2 linked regions of the Mytilus edulis genome follow. The protein of the gene in region 2 purifies or fractionates together with the protein of the main gene of each other region. This does not show direct contact. Links are inferred from orthologs where the notes say so. Each region holds a gene or a part of one and is shown on either strand. Other genes may lie near its edges.

Region 1 (7,137 bases), on a different chromosome or scaffold from region 2:
ATTACTTGATCTTTCATTTACCAGTCCTTTAATATGTTTGTTAAGTTCATTATTCATTTCCTTTTCAAAGTCATCTTCACTTGAAGAATCATGTCTTTGTTGGACTTTGGTCTGTAATTTACGCTTCTGTTCAGGTGTTCCATATAAAATAACCTCGATATCATCATCAGAACTAGTGAGAAAATAAATAATTTTTAAATAAAATTGAGAATGGAAATGGGGAATGTGCCAAAGAGACAACAACCCAACCATAGAAAAAAACAACAGCAGAAGGTCACCAACAGGTCTTCAATGTAGCGAGAAATTCCTGCACCCATAGGCGTCCTTCAACTGGCCCCTAAACAAATATATACTAGTTCAGTGATAATGAACGCCATACTAATTTCCAAATTGTACACAAGAAACTAAAATTAAAATAATACAAGACTAACAAAGGCCAGAGGCTCCTGACTTGGGACAGGCGCAAAAATGCGGCGGGTTAAACATGTTTGTGAGATCTCAACCCTCCCCCTATACCTCTAGCCAATGTAGAAAAGTAAACGCATAACAATATGCACATTAAAATTCAGTTCAAGAGAAGTCCGAGTCTGATGTCAGAAGATGTAACCAAAGAAAATAAACAAAATGACAATAATACATAAATAACAACAGACTACTAGCAGTTAACTGACATGCCAGCTCCAGACTTCAATTAAACTGACTGAAAGATTATGATTTCATCATATGAACATCAGGCACAATCCTTCCCGTTAGGGGTTTAGTATCATACCATCATAACATATATGAGAAGAACATAACCCATGTCATGCCAACAAAGGCATACATTGTAAAAGGATACATTGTACATGAAGGTCTAACATAGATCTATATATAATATATCATACTTCTATATGGCATTGACCAAGATCATGTTTTGTCTTACTTTGACTAATTGATGACTGATTGGTTGATGTTTAAACAAATAAGAACCCGTGGTCAAACTTTAAGCACTATTGCCTTGTGGTCAGTTTTTATAAGTGAAGGTGAGAACCATAAACCTTCTGGACTAAATCTTTACACTTTATCGATGTGTGTGATTGATGGTTTAGTCTTTAACACATAATTTCTTTTTAAAATTAATTGTTATTGGCTTTGAAGATGCAAGCTTTCAGAAACTGCAAGAACTCTTAGAACAGTCCTTTTATAAGTTTTTTTTGTGTGTTTTGTGTCAATATGATGATCATGAGTCCAGACATTTTCAACCGATTTTTACTGCTCTTGTGTTGTCACACCATTATCCAACATGTCCAAGGTGAGAGGAGGGTTTGGCACATCCACACTTGTTTAACCCTGTCACATTCTAATCTGTCGGTACAAAGTCATGACCTGCTACATTGTGTATTTATAATAATTTTGTTGTGTATAGGAAACATAATAGTGATGATTACCTAACTTGCACCCATTGTACGATTGATTTTTGCTTCTTTTGGTTGCTCTTACATTTGTACTTGACAAATACAGACTACCACAGAGTAGGTACATGTAGCCTGTTCAACTATTACATGTATATATTACCTAGTCAGAATTTGGAAATATGAAATAAAATCTATTGACATAAAAATATGTGCTTGAAACATATGAAAAAAAGGAAAGCAAATTTCAATTACCTGTGATTTTATCACATAACCATTGGCTGATCACATGATTTATTCTTTACAAGGAATGAATGAAAACAGAAGGCGATTTCTCGTCCAGAAATGGACAATAAACAAATAAGGTGTGGTATGATTGCCAATGAGAAAACTTTAACATGTTTAATCAGTCAGATTTGAAATGATGAGGACTCTTTTTATCAGCTAAAGAACAGTAACAATGATGATAGGAATAATCTAATTTAACTAGAATGTGACTGGTATGGCCAGACAAAAAACTACTGTGCAAAGTTTTCGCTGGACCTAATACATTCAGTTATTGAATCTGGTTCATTACATGTACTTGGAAGAAGAAGAAGCCTAGGACGTATGTATAGGATGTATGTATGGGCCGTCCAAAACATTCTGTATACATTGACATAAATTATTTGTGATACATTTTTGTTCTTGCAAAGGGGGATATAGTTTAATGTTTTGATATATCAATTCATTTCCTATTTTCCCCAATGTGAAGTAGAAATCTGAACATATATCATTTTACATTGTATATATGTAATTTGTAAATAACAGTTTTTATTTTTAACTACGTATGTCTGTATGATAGTAACGTGACGGTACCCAAATTGCACCTATTTTGACAGTTTTTTCATCTACGTTTTTTTATGATGAAGACGAAAATGTCCATTCTGTGTTAATTTTGTAGCCCTATCCTTCTTTATTATAAAGGTACACCAATTTGATTTTTATTCCATATGGAATCATAGAAAAATTGGTCTGAACTTACCTCCAAACCATCCCAGATTCTGTAATGAGGAGTACCCAAATTGCATCCATGCTTAAATTCGCATCGTCAAAAGTCGAATAACAGAGCTTTTGTTTATTTTTTTCAAATATTTTGAACAATTGGATATTTGTCCATGCTTACTCTTCATATTTTAAGAAATGGATACTTGAAACGTATTGTATTTGTTAATTTTAAAAAGATGACGTTTTGATGACGTCGCATGGCGACGTTTCAGTACATTTTGCTTTTTCAGTAAACACTTCATCTGTTGATAAATATTGTGAACGTTTTGTGTATATCTAAATATTTTTACCTATGTTGAAAGACGTGCATAGTATCAAATCATAAAAATACCATTTTTTTAGTCTCTAGGAAATCTTGTTAGATTTTCGCTGCTATTTTTGATAAATACATGTAGGTGCAATTTGGGTACTCGGTGCAATTTGGGTACCGTTACGTTACCTATCGCAAGGCTCTTGGTCACTGTCATCTTCAAAGTCATAGTAGTCGTAGTCCCTATCAGTAATTCTATTCATTTCAAATCAATATCAATAACAACTTTTCTTCAATTTCTGTTTTTTTCTGCAAAATCAAAATACAATTTGTTTCCCAAAATCGTATCTTCAATGTAAATCTGTTAATTCATGTGTAAACGTATTTTCACTCCACTATAAACGCCTAAGTGATTCCCACAAAAATAAAGTAATACGTTCACAGATGCGGACTGTTTTTTGCTTTCCGAAATAAATAATTTTGATAGCACATTGAGACGACGATGAGTATCATTGATGACTCATGCCTAATGACAAATTAAAAAAAAGATAGCTAGACGATATTATAAAAAATGTTAAAACTAGACAAAAAGTCATTTCAGTCCAACTATCATAGAAAAAACTGAGAAATACATTATTGACCCCTGATTAATTATTACTTTTATATGAGTTGAATTACACTGAACGGTTTTATTTTTCATTAAATTTTGTTTAAACATCAGAACATAGACTTCCGCAATAGTAAAATAATAATTATGTTAAAAAAATAAAGAAAACAAATACACATGGATATATTCTGAACCTGAGTTCTGTCTGTTCTGAATCTGAGATATATAGTATCTATAATACTAAAATTACGAGGTCCAATTTGTCAGCCGTCATCACGTAAAAACGACGAATCACAGAATTCAACTTTATATATAACTAATATAGTACAAAGGTGTAGATTAAAAATTACACCACTCCAGGCCCTTTTGTTTTCCACGTAATTAATATTGCCAATAATTAAGAAGTTCCGGGTCGAGTCCGCTACCGATACCAATAATATATTCACCTGTTACCTATTACCTTATCTGTACGTTCCGCATCTGACAGGCGCACCACCAAACGTTGTATTCAGGATTAATATGCTATATACACGGGTCATAACCACAGGGTTGACACTACTAAATTGTCAAATTGTTACCTATTGTATTATTTTAATCAGTAAGACTTTCTAAGATAACAATACGAATACTAAAAATCTGGACTAAAAATAAGGCGTATAGGTACAGTTTTCAATTTGTTAGTGGGTATGACGTAAAACAGCGAAGCAAAGAATTCAACTTTATTTATAACTTATATAGGACAATGCTGTTGATTAAAAAATACTCCATTCCAGGACCTTTTGTTTTCCAAATAATTAATATTATTGTTTCAGTTCGACGGGTTCAAACAGAAAGACTTGAAAGCAGAGAAAAACTGTGTATCTTATAATCGGAATGACTTTATCAGATGACAATACTAATACTAAAATAAGGCTTGCGCATAGTTATATACTTTAATTAAGTCACGGACCCGTGATATCACGGGTGTGTTCTAGTATCAGTATAATAGTCCCAGTTAGGACACCGAACAATAATACCTGTTAATTTGTTTGCATCAAGTCTGTCAATGCCATTATGATGATTTCATGCAGCTTATATTTCATAAAACTTCTCCAATGTGGATTTTAACATAGAGTACATTTTTTTTTCATTTCGAAACAAGATACATTTATTTGCATTGTATTCCTGTCAGTGTAATGTTGTCATTTTCTTGTTATATTTAACATTGCCATAAAAACGGAAGGTTTCGCATGACACAAAACCTGGTTCAACCCACCATTTTTTTTCTTAAAATGTCCTGTACCAAGTCAGGAAAATGGCCATTATAGTTCGTTTCTGTGTGTGTAACATTTTAATGTTGTGTCGTTGTTTTCCTCCTATATTTGATGCGTTTCCCTCAGTTTTAGTTTGTAACCCGGATTTGGTTTTTTTTTCTCAATCGATTTATGAGTTTCGAACAGCGGTATACTACTGCTGCCTTCATTTGGAGAATAAAACTTATTTTTGGCTAGTTTATATAGCAAGCTTTTATATTTTTGTTAATAATTTTTATCGAGCTTTTTAGTTAAAAAAATATACAAAAGAGCACCTGTTAAACTTATATCATCAGGACGCTCAGTTGTTTTTGAAAACGGAAATTTATTTGTTACGATAAGCGACATTTTTCAGCATTCAGTTACCAATTTCTTATAGTCGATGTAAAATAAACTGAAAGCGCTATCAGCTGTTTTTGGCATGTGATTCTTTGTCATTTTCTGTTTTATATTTTTCAAATATATATATATATATATATATAATTGAGAATGGAAATGGTTAATGTGTCAAAGAGACAACAACCCATTCCGTAAAACTTTTATATTGTTAAATGAATGCTTGCACGTAGTATTTGCTTCATTCAACAGCGAAAGTGCTACATATTATTCTTTAGTTTTCTATGTTGTGTCATGTGTACTATTGTTTAATTGTCTGTTTGTCTTTTTCATTTTTAGCCATGGCGTTGTCAGTTTATTTTCGATTTATGAGTTTGACTGTCCCTCTGGTATCTTTCGTCCCTCTTTTATGTGTTATCATAGTTCCACCTGCCAAACTGTAACTAACTCCTATTTTATAATTTGTTAAAGTGTTAAAAGGAATAAAATAATTTCATTTGTTTTTATAAAAGATGACGATTCTTCACTATGTAGTTGATATTTTTTTATCTAAATAATCATCGGCAAGAAATTTCTAAATATACTGCAGACAATTTACCCAAGTGAAATTACTCAAAATAAATCAAACATAAAAAATAAGTACTGTCCTTTCTTAGATTTAGATATTTCATTTTTTCACGGGAATTTCTTCCCAAAAATTTACGACAAATTGGCGATTTTTCGTTCCTTATTGTTAATTTTCATTTTTGGATAGTGATGTTACCTTGGTACCTCGTATTGTAGAAAAATAATTGCAAAATTGGAAATCTTTGATCTCTTTTTATTGTTCTTAAGTTGATGAAATACCTCTATAGGGGAGAATGGGGTAAGTGGACACATTAAGCGTATATACACGTTTCAGCTCGCTGGGACATGGATGATATTTCCACCTCCGTTCCAATAAATTTCTAAATATATTTTATTTTGAGAAAATGCCATTTATAATCTTCAGGTTTATCGAAACACGGGAACAGCTTAAGGTTTCAAAAAGCTAACAAGTTTCTGACACATAATAAATGTGGTCTTAGAAGTTTAATTCTGGACTCTTGAAACTCAATGGGGACCATCTAAAAACGGGAACCAAAATCTAAATACACGGTCAGATACAGCATATTAAAGAACCCCAAGAATTTAAGACTTTGAATTAAACCACAATGAAATTGATGTAGAAAAAAATTAAACAAATTAAACAAAGTATAGAAAAGTTTTTGGGCTCGTCATTTCGATCTAAACGGTTAGGAATATAACCCCAAAATCAATCCCAACCTTCCTTTTGTGGCATGAAACCTTGTGCAACAATTTCATAGAGATCCAAAGACTTATTCTTAAGTTATTGTATGGAACCAAGTGTTTTGACGACGACGACCGGACGAAACCGTCATAACATTACACGACCTCGAGAAGTTTGCGATCGTATAAAAGTATTAAATTTTGAATGGTGCGGATCCAGAATTTTGAAAAACGGGTTAAGGAGCCTCAACGTTAGGAATGGAACAGTCTATGCATTTACCATATATATATAACTTCATAACGGGTGCCGGGTACCCTATGACTACCGCCTAAGTCCGCATATGATTTTAAAAAATCTTGTATGATGGTTTAAAATCTCTCATAATTATGAAATGGTCTGTTGTATTATTTGTATTTTTATCATATCATAGCCATTTTATGCAAATGTGTTTGAGCAAATAAAAACTATGTATTTTCACGTATCAATAATTCTAACCAAGTGTCCCAGATATTAGACATTTTACCTCCCTGTGCAAAGTCCTTTCTCAATCTATCAAAATACATATATCGTTGATTTTGTTATACTCAATAATATATGCTGTAACAAAATCCGGTAATCCTCAAAAAGTTGATGGTATTCCGTAACTAAAGAAGAATAACAATGGTCATGGTAAGAATGTTAAAATCCTTCGATTGTTAATTTATTCTATTACTCAGTTTCATTATGAATAAGAAATTTCATGGCAACTGACAAACAACACGCCACGAATATCTGTTGAAACAGAATGAATTTCAAAGTGATGGAAAAGACATCGCTTTATCATTATACGACAACCTTAGCATTGTACGGAAGCCGATAAGGGCCATTCAAAACAGGGCCGTAACTAGGGTTCAAATTCAGGGGAGGCAGGTTTTTTTTTCTCCAAGTAAAATGTCCTTCGATTT
Region 2 (8,030 bases):
TAGATTTTTGATTATAGGCCCAGTTTTCAAGTTGGTCCAAATCAGGGTCCAAAATTAAACGTTTGATTTCATCAAAAATTGAATAATTGGGGTTCTTTGATACGCCAAATCTTACTGTGTATGTAGATTCTTAATTTTTGGTCCCGTTTTCAAATTGGTCTACATTAAAGTCAAAAGGGTCCAAAATTAAACTAAGTTTGATTTTAACAAAAATTGAATTCTTGGACTTTTTTGATATGCTGAATCTAAACATGTACTTAGATTTTTGATTATGGGCCCAGTTTTCAAGTTGGTTCAAATCAGGATCCAAAATTATTATATTAAGTATTGTACAATAGCAAGAAATTTTCAATTGCACAGTATTCAGCAATAGCAAGAAATCTTCAATTGCACAGTATTGTGCAATTACAAGAAATTTTCAATTGCACAGTATTGCGCAATAGCAAGAAATCTTCAATTTCACAGTATTGTGCAATAGCAAATATTTTCAATTGCACAGTATTGCGCAATAGCAAGAAATATCTAATTGCACAATATTGTGCAATAGCAAGAAATTTTGAATTGAAGTTATCTTCCTTTGTCCAGAATAGTAGTTGAATCAAGTTAAATTATTGTTTTATACAATATATAATGTATATTCACTTTTACTACCAACTGATAAATTAAAACAATCTTTACCATTCAGTGATAACAACCACTTTATTTTACATTTTAATATTTTATGATGTATTTAAATGAGTAGTTATTGTTGCAAACTCCATTAGAAATTTGAATTGAGATCAGTTTTAGAAAAAGGGAAAGGGGGATGTGAAAAAAAAGGGGGGGGGGTAAATTTTTCTCATTTCAGATGTCATAAATAAAAAGAAAATTTCTTCAAACATTTTTTTGAGAGGATTAATATTCAACAGCATAGTGAATTGCTCAAAGGCAAAAAAAATATTTTAAGTTCATTAGACCACATTCATTCTGTGTAAGAACAATGCAGAAACCTATGCTGTGTCAACTATTTCATCACAATCCAAATTTAGAGCTGAATCCAGCTTGAATGTTGTGTCCATACTTGCCCCAACCATTCAATGTTCAACCTCTGCGGTCGTATAAAGCTGCGCCCTGCGGAGCATCTGGTTTGTTTTGTTTTCATAAAATATAGTTTGATATCTTTAAAGTCTGTAAATATTTAAAAAATCTACCAAATAACAAAAAACTTATGACTATTTTTGTCTCATCCGGTCAACCGTCCTGTCACTAGCCGGTCAGTCATCCTGTCATTAGTGCAACCCGTTTTCATCACACTTAGACATGTTAGAAAAGTGTGGTACTACGGAACAGTCATTATTAATATTTATGCATATTTTTGGTGCTTTTTCAAAAATGTATATCTGAAATATGTATCAAGACTGAAAATAGTGCTATGATCAAAACCACCAGCAATCATTTTTTCCATCTTCAATGTGGGTCTCATTGGGGTCTTAGCGTGACGCGGGATTGCCGCTTTTTTCGTAAGCGTCAGGGCCGTAACTACCTAAGAGGCAGGGGAGGCAACTGCCTCGCCTCCCCTGAATTCTCTACACCAATTTTTTTTTCAAGTAATAAAATGAAATATTGACAATATGTACACGAAGAACTTGAATTTATATTATAAACAACCTAAGTTTATAGTTTTAACAGTGTTCTCATGATTCGTGATATATGTCATTTTCCGGATTTTTGATAGTAATCTCGGACTAATGCCTTAGTAGTTAAACACTCCCATTCGTTGTAGCAGGGACTTTCTATACTAACTTGTAAGTATATACTAGTATAAAAACTTTCAAAGTCACTGGTTATAGTTATATACATGTCTGTTTAGCTTTCAACAATATTGAAATTCAAGGTCCTCGATAAAAAAGATATCTTGCGTTCTATGATATCGATTGATATGTTTTTTTTACTTACCAGTTTGATTTCTAACAAAAATATCTTTAAATACAGATGATAATTGATTGCATAAAAATTGCTTCCAGGATCCAGCAATACTGATGTTTCTTAAAGTAAGGAAATCGAAGGAAAACGGGTCATTTTTAGCCACTGATTCAAGTTTATTGAGAAAAAAATCTGCGGTCACAATGTATATAATGTTAATAATTATAGGTCAAAGTACGGCCTTCAAGACGGGGCCTTGGCTCACCCCGAACAGCAATCTCAGCTTGTTTTTGCATAAAAATTGCGTCCTGGTTCAAGCAATACTGATGTTTCTTAATGAAAGGAAATAGAAGGAAAACGGGTCATTTTTAGTCATTATACTGAGAAAAAATTTGGCGAGGGGCTGTGCCCCCCCAAACCCCCTCTCTTAGGGGCCTCAATCGGCGGGCCCAAACCCCTGCCTCCCCTGAATTGGAACCCTAGTTACGGCCCTGAGCGTGAAACGGGAAAGTCAAATTATTGTGCCGTGAAAACGGGAATTAAGGTCTAGCGGGACACGGAAAATTACAAAAAAATGAGAATTGCTTAGGTACATAGTGTAAGCGGGATACAGGAATCTGACAAAACAGTAAGCGGGATCAGAACCCCTCAATGAGACCCCCTTCAATTCGTCAGTGGAATGAACTACCATCTGGCATGATGATCTGCTGTCGTCACAGCTTCCACTTTGGCAGGATTCAAAGACAGCCTCCAGACACCTGCTTCATGTAAGATATTTCAGTTTTAATTGTATATAACACCACGATGGCTTTTAACCGGATTTGTGTAAATAGTCATTTGCGATAATACACCAGAGGTGGTATGCAAATTATTGGAAGAAGAAGAAGAAGAAGATCTTGATAAAAACAAGACAGGGACAAGTCCGATAGATACGAATGTCATTCCGAGTTGCTTGCAAACCTTCAATATCATCTTCATCCAATATGTCATATTTTCCAGTGTTTTCATCTTCTTCGTCACTATCTAAGGAATGTTTATCTTTGAATCTCCGGGCTGCTTCGTCGTCTAAATCTTCGAAATCTCTCAAATCCTCTTCGCGGTCTTGTTCAAATCGTTTTCGTTTCGACATTTTTAGAATTTTCAGATTCTGGATTTTCAGAGAAAACGAACTTAGTCATATTGAAAATATGATTGTTTATTCATATATAAACGGAAAGGTACATAATTTTCGACTCTAAACTTTATCTTTTTTATATTTTCAATCTCATTCTTAAAAGAATTAACGAAAAAGATCAAATAAATTTTGATTCGTTTTATCCATTGTGATCAATAAAATTTCGAATTGTTTAAAAATGGCAGAACGCACTTGGTTACTGGAGTAGAACGGTCGTTTTTAGGACACTTCATCCCATTAAAGGCGTTTTCACGTAATAAATACTAGTCAAATGTATTTATTGAGGATAAATCTTAAAGACAAATCAAGTGTCTACAGTTTGTACATTGATTTAGGCAAACGTTTTAAAAAAATCCAAGTGGGTCTGGGAAATTATTTCAATAAATAAAAATATATTGATGCATTGACCGTGAGGCTTATGCATGAAGACCTTTTAAGTATTTGACTCTTCTAGTAGTATTAATCAATAGTTAAAATTTTTGCAGCGTCCAATAGTCAAATGATAGTTCTATGGAAACTTTGTGCCCCTACAAAGTCATACCCTAGGAACAGAACTGACACAGATTTTATCAAGCCCTTATACTAAGTACACTCCTTATCACTATTTGTTTTCCATTGCTGGAATTATACATCAGTTTTATCAGCTTGCGCTCTCTCTTTATTTTATCTTGTCTCTTGATCATATTGAATATATCACATGAACTGACATATTAATAAGTCAGAGCTCAGACATAAATAAGTCTGAATCTGCTTTTGACTCATAGAGGTCTAAATTTGTAAGTTTTAGGATTTGTCTCCCTTTAAAGCAAGACAAAATACGACTTTAATAAGTCATATATTGTTAAGCAAGAAGTATTGATCAGAATCAAAAAGTTGCAAATATAGGGCTCTTCACGGTTAGTTCGGCCATATTTGATAGGGGGCAGATTTTTTGGAAAGAGGTGGAAATAGTATGAAAGTATGGGAAATCCTATGCATGTTTCCAAGCAATTGCTCTGTTTTAATGATGTTTTCCCGTATTTTTCACACCATTTGTACCTCCATTGTGAAAATCTGCCCCCTATTAAAATTGGTTAACTGCAAGACCCATGCATATTTATAAACAGGTCATACATCTAAATCAAATAATGGCAACATTGAAAGACAAGGCTTTGTCTTCTAAAGAAAAATATGAATGAGAGTCTAAAAAATCAGAGATAATGTTAATTAAACTTACAATGCAACCATCTGGAACCACAGTTAATGAGGTAAAACATCTGTGTTTAGTAAGGATGTTCAATAAGATTCTTAAATATAGATAGCTAAAGTCCTTGTGAACTTTCCGACAGGTTTTTGCAGTCATAGGTGGTGTACTTTTGGCCACCAATTTGCAAGTAAAATTAAGTTTTTTCATCAACATAAATAGACCTAAACAAGTCTGTCATTTTCTGACTTAGATAAGTCTAAAATTGAAAACACATTTTTATAATAAATACATGTTTTGACTTCTTTAAGTCCAAAAGAAAAATCGACTTGTTTATGTCTGAACTCTGACTGTTAATATAGGTTCATAAAAACATACAATAAAAATCAGTACCGAATTACTGCTAAACTCTTTAATACTGACAACATGATTGATTTAAAGAATATTTCACATGAACTGACATATTAATCAGTCAGAGCTCAGACATAAATAAGTCTGAATCTGCTTTTGACTTGTAGAGGTCTAAATTTGTAAGTTTTAGCTATATATAGGATTTGTCTCCCTTTAAAGCAAGACAAAATATGACTTTAATAAGTCATATATTGTTAAGCAAGAAATTATTGACCAGAATCAAAAAGAATCATAAAACAAAAACACAAGTAAAACAAAACAAACCTTGCAAATTGTCTGAAATAAAACTACAGAAATCTAAAGTTGAAAGCTATCCATTGAATATTAAAAAAGTTATTGAAGTTAGAACAAGTTCAACCATATATTTTCAGGTCTGTTCAGGTCTTTTCATTTCTCTGTTTAGGTCCAACTTTTAACATCAAAAATTGTTTTTTATTTATAACATTTTAATTTTAATGAAATATGGATATTAACATTTTATAAAATTTTAACTTGATGAAAATCCATTAAATTATAAAAAAGTTATTGCAATTTGAATAACTTGAGTCATATATCTTCAGGTCTTTTCAGGTCTTTAGCCCAGCTGGTCATACTACATTCTTCAAACAAAACAATCTGTCATTCTTAATGATCATTTTTGGTGTTGAAAATTTTTATACCTTTTATGCAATACATTATGGTGTAAAATTTACATGGATGTTTTTGTGTGTTTACATTGTGCATTCACGGAAATGTATAATTCTTAAACTCTTAATGATAAATATTAAAAACTTATCATAGTTACTAAAAAAAAAAAATTTCATCATCCTTCTCCATTATACTCTCTTAATTGTGCTGAGAAAATCAGAAGTTGTGCTAGCTATGCAAGAATGGTGTTTGAATATTAAAGGAGTGGAGGAGCACAATCCTTAAATAGTCTGGTGATTCCTGCTTTACATTGTAAATGTTTCAAACCTAGTATTCAATTTTATAATTTTTCTTTTATAGATTAGAGAATGATAATGAATGTCTTGGAACCAACATCTCGTGTGGGAGTTGCCCTTGACCTTATCCTTAAAACACTGATATCATCACAAGATTTTAATGAGTTACAGACAAAGAATTGGGAAGCTATTGCAAGGCTTATACCTGGATCTTCTCCTGGACAGGTAGTACTTTTCAGATACATGTGTACATGTGTATAGGAAATAATTGTCATCTCTCCAGATATGAATACAAAAGCTTTTATAACTTGCAACACTATTGAAGATACTGTGGATTTAAATCCTAACAAAAAAGAATTAATTCACAGCAGTAAAAACTTAAGATTTTTCATTCCACAGACAGTCTTTTCTTATTATAGTTAGCTGTAACCAGGTACAAACTCAGATGAAAATATTGGAATTTGTTCACTAAAACATTTGTTATGTTATTTTTCATTGGTTTAAATTCAATTCAGGTTGCAAGACGATATGAAGAGTTATTGCTGACAGGGGATGTATATGCTATGAATCAGTTTGAGAAAAATTACACCATTCCTGGAGCTTCATCTCAAGTCAGTCTGACAGAATCTGATCTTAGCAGTAAAACTGGAGGTAGTTTACCAGGATCTGCATCACAGAAAGGTGGGCAATTATATATTAGAGTCAAATGTGTTAAAAAGCTGAGGAATTGATTATTTCAGTTTTGCTGCCTTAACCAAAAGGAATATAAAAAATAAGCAGGAAACATAATTGTATTGTAAAGTGGAAAGTTTTTGCCCAAAATTTATTTTTCACTAATTTTATGAAAAGATAAATCATGGAAATATCAATTTGTTCTTTAACATGATTGAAGTAAATAAGAATCAATGACAAGAAAAATGTGATTTTAAATTGCTAACAGATTTTGCACAATAAATCGTGAAAATTAGACTCCTTGTTAAAAACCTACATTACAACTTTATTTTTCCGAATTTCTGCTACCAGATCTGCTATTTTAAGCACAAATCAGTCACTTCAAAACCATATCAAATATTGACTAATAATAACACTAGAATGATATATATAGAATTTCTGTGCTCTAATTTGCTTTGTTTTACATGATCAATATTTTATATTTAATAGGAGATAAAGATAGCAAAGATACAAATGAATCAAAAAGTAAACAAAGTGGACGAAACAGTGATGATCAAGGGTAAGGCCATAAAAAAAAAATAGGTTTGTTTGCCCAAATGCTACCTACCCAGAAAAAAGCTGCCTACTCAAATTCTTTTATTGTCCTGATTTGAAGAAGTTTTTTTTTAATCAGATAGGCATGAAGAATAATAAACACCCGATACTTCAATTTCTCTTTTTGAAAAAAAAAAAAGAAAATGCCTACCTACCTACCCACTGTTTCAACCTTTGGGTAGGGTTTGGGCAAACCAAAATATTTTTAATTGTGGCCTAAGTTTGAATAATGGATGAATAACTCAAAATATGGTAGAAATAAATCAGATCTACAGTAAGTGTCAATGTAACAGCAACCAAACAAAATACACTTCTTCAGGTTTACATAAAATGCTAGTTGTCCACACCATATGATTAGCTCAAAACGGCTTTCAGAAGAAAGTTATAAATAAGTACCAACTTTTATTAGCTGCTAGATAAAAATGTATGCTTTGTTAATATTAATGCTTAATTTGGTTCAGATAGCATTATTGTAACGAAAACTACTTTTAATTCTCTAAGCATTATTGTAATGAAAACTACTTTTAATTCTCTAAGCATTGTTGTAATGAAAACTACTTTTAATTCTCTAGGCAAGATATGTTTTGGGTTCTTAGATGTGCATTATCATGCCATATTTGTAACTTAATAGCCATATTCATAATTTTTCATTTCAGTAAACTTTTGATTATTTGCATTTTTAAAACATGTTCCTAAATGTACACATTGATTTTTAAATTTACAGGAATGTTATTCTGTAGTTATAAGGGATTTTTTTTTTATTTCTATGAAAAACAATATTAACCAATACGAATACTACAGCTTTTGTGACTATAATTTTTTAATAATTGTTGTCTTTTACAGCCCTGTTATGACTATACATGTCTGTGATGAAGCTAAAAGCTGTAAGTAGTAAATCAACCAATATGGCTGTTATAATTACTTAAAACAGAACGAAGGAAACAAACATTTATAGATTTTAAAATTTTTGATTAAATGATATTCTTTTTTGCAAAACCCTAATTAAAAATAGAACCTGATGGTAAAATAAATATTATGTGACAAGATTTACACAGAGCTTGTTTATGTATTCAAGCAGAGACCAATATTATAAAGGGGAAATCTCTTCAAATCTCTAGATATCAAAGAACTGAAAATATCCGAAATTTTTAAAAGCAAAAGTAGTATGATA

What was found. Proteins that work in one complex are often made in the same cells at the same time.
Region 1: the proteins of CD2 antigen cytoplasmic tail-binding protein 2 homolog (region 2) and E2F-associated phosphoprotein-like purify together in Homo sapiens (affinity purification with mass spectrometry; 3 studies listed by BioGRID and IntAct, counting the BioPlex papers as one, with this or other methods). This does not show direct contact. The link is inferred for Mytilus edulis from reciprocal best matches to the Homo sapiens genes CD2BP2 and EAPP.

Annotation. Positions count from the first base shown.
Region 1 is NC_092346.1:9,474,872-9,482,008, reverse strand, and holds the start of E2F-associated phosphoprotein-like, read right to left. Parts: upstream 3,071-7,137; 5' UTR 2,952-3,070; coding exon 2,878-2,951; intron 173-2,877; coding exon 1-172. UniProt on the Homo sapiens protein: May play an important role in the fine-tuning of both major E2F1 activities, the regulation of the cell-cycle and the induction of apoptosis. Promotes S-phase entry, and inhibits p14(ARP) expression.
Region 2 is NC_092349.1:60,053,332-60,061,361, forward strand, and holds the start of CD2 antigen cytoplasmic tail-binding protein 2 homolog, read right to left. Parts: upstream 3,058-8,030; 5' UTR 3,032-3,057; coding exon 2,863-3,031; intron 1-2,862. Other genes in the region: SANT and BTB domain regulator of class switch recombination-like, read left to right, coding at 5,666-5,818, 6,109-6,274, 6,755-6,824, 7,703-7,743. UniProt on the Homo sapiens protein: Involved in pre-mRNA splicing as component of the U5 snRNP complex that is involved in spliceosome assembly.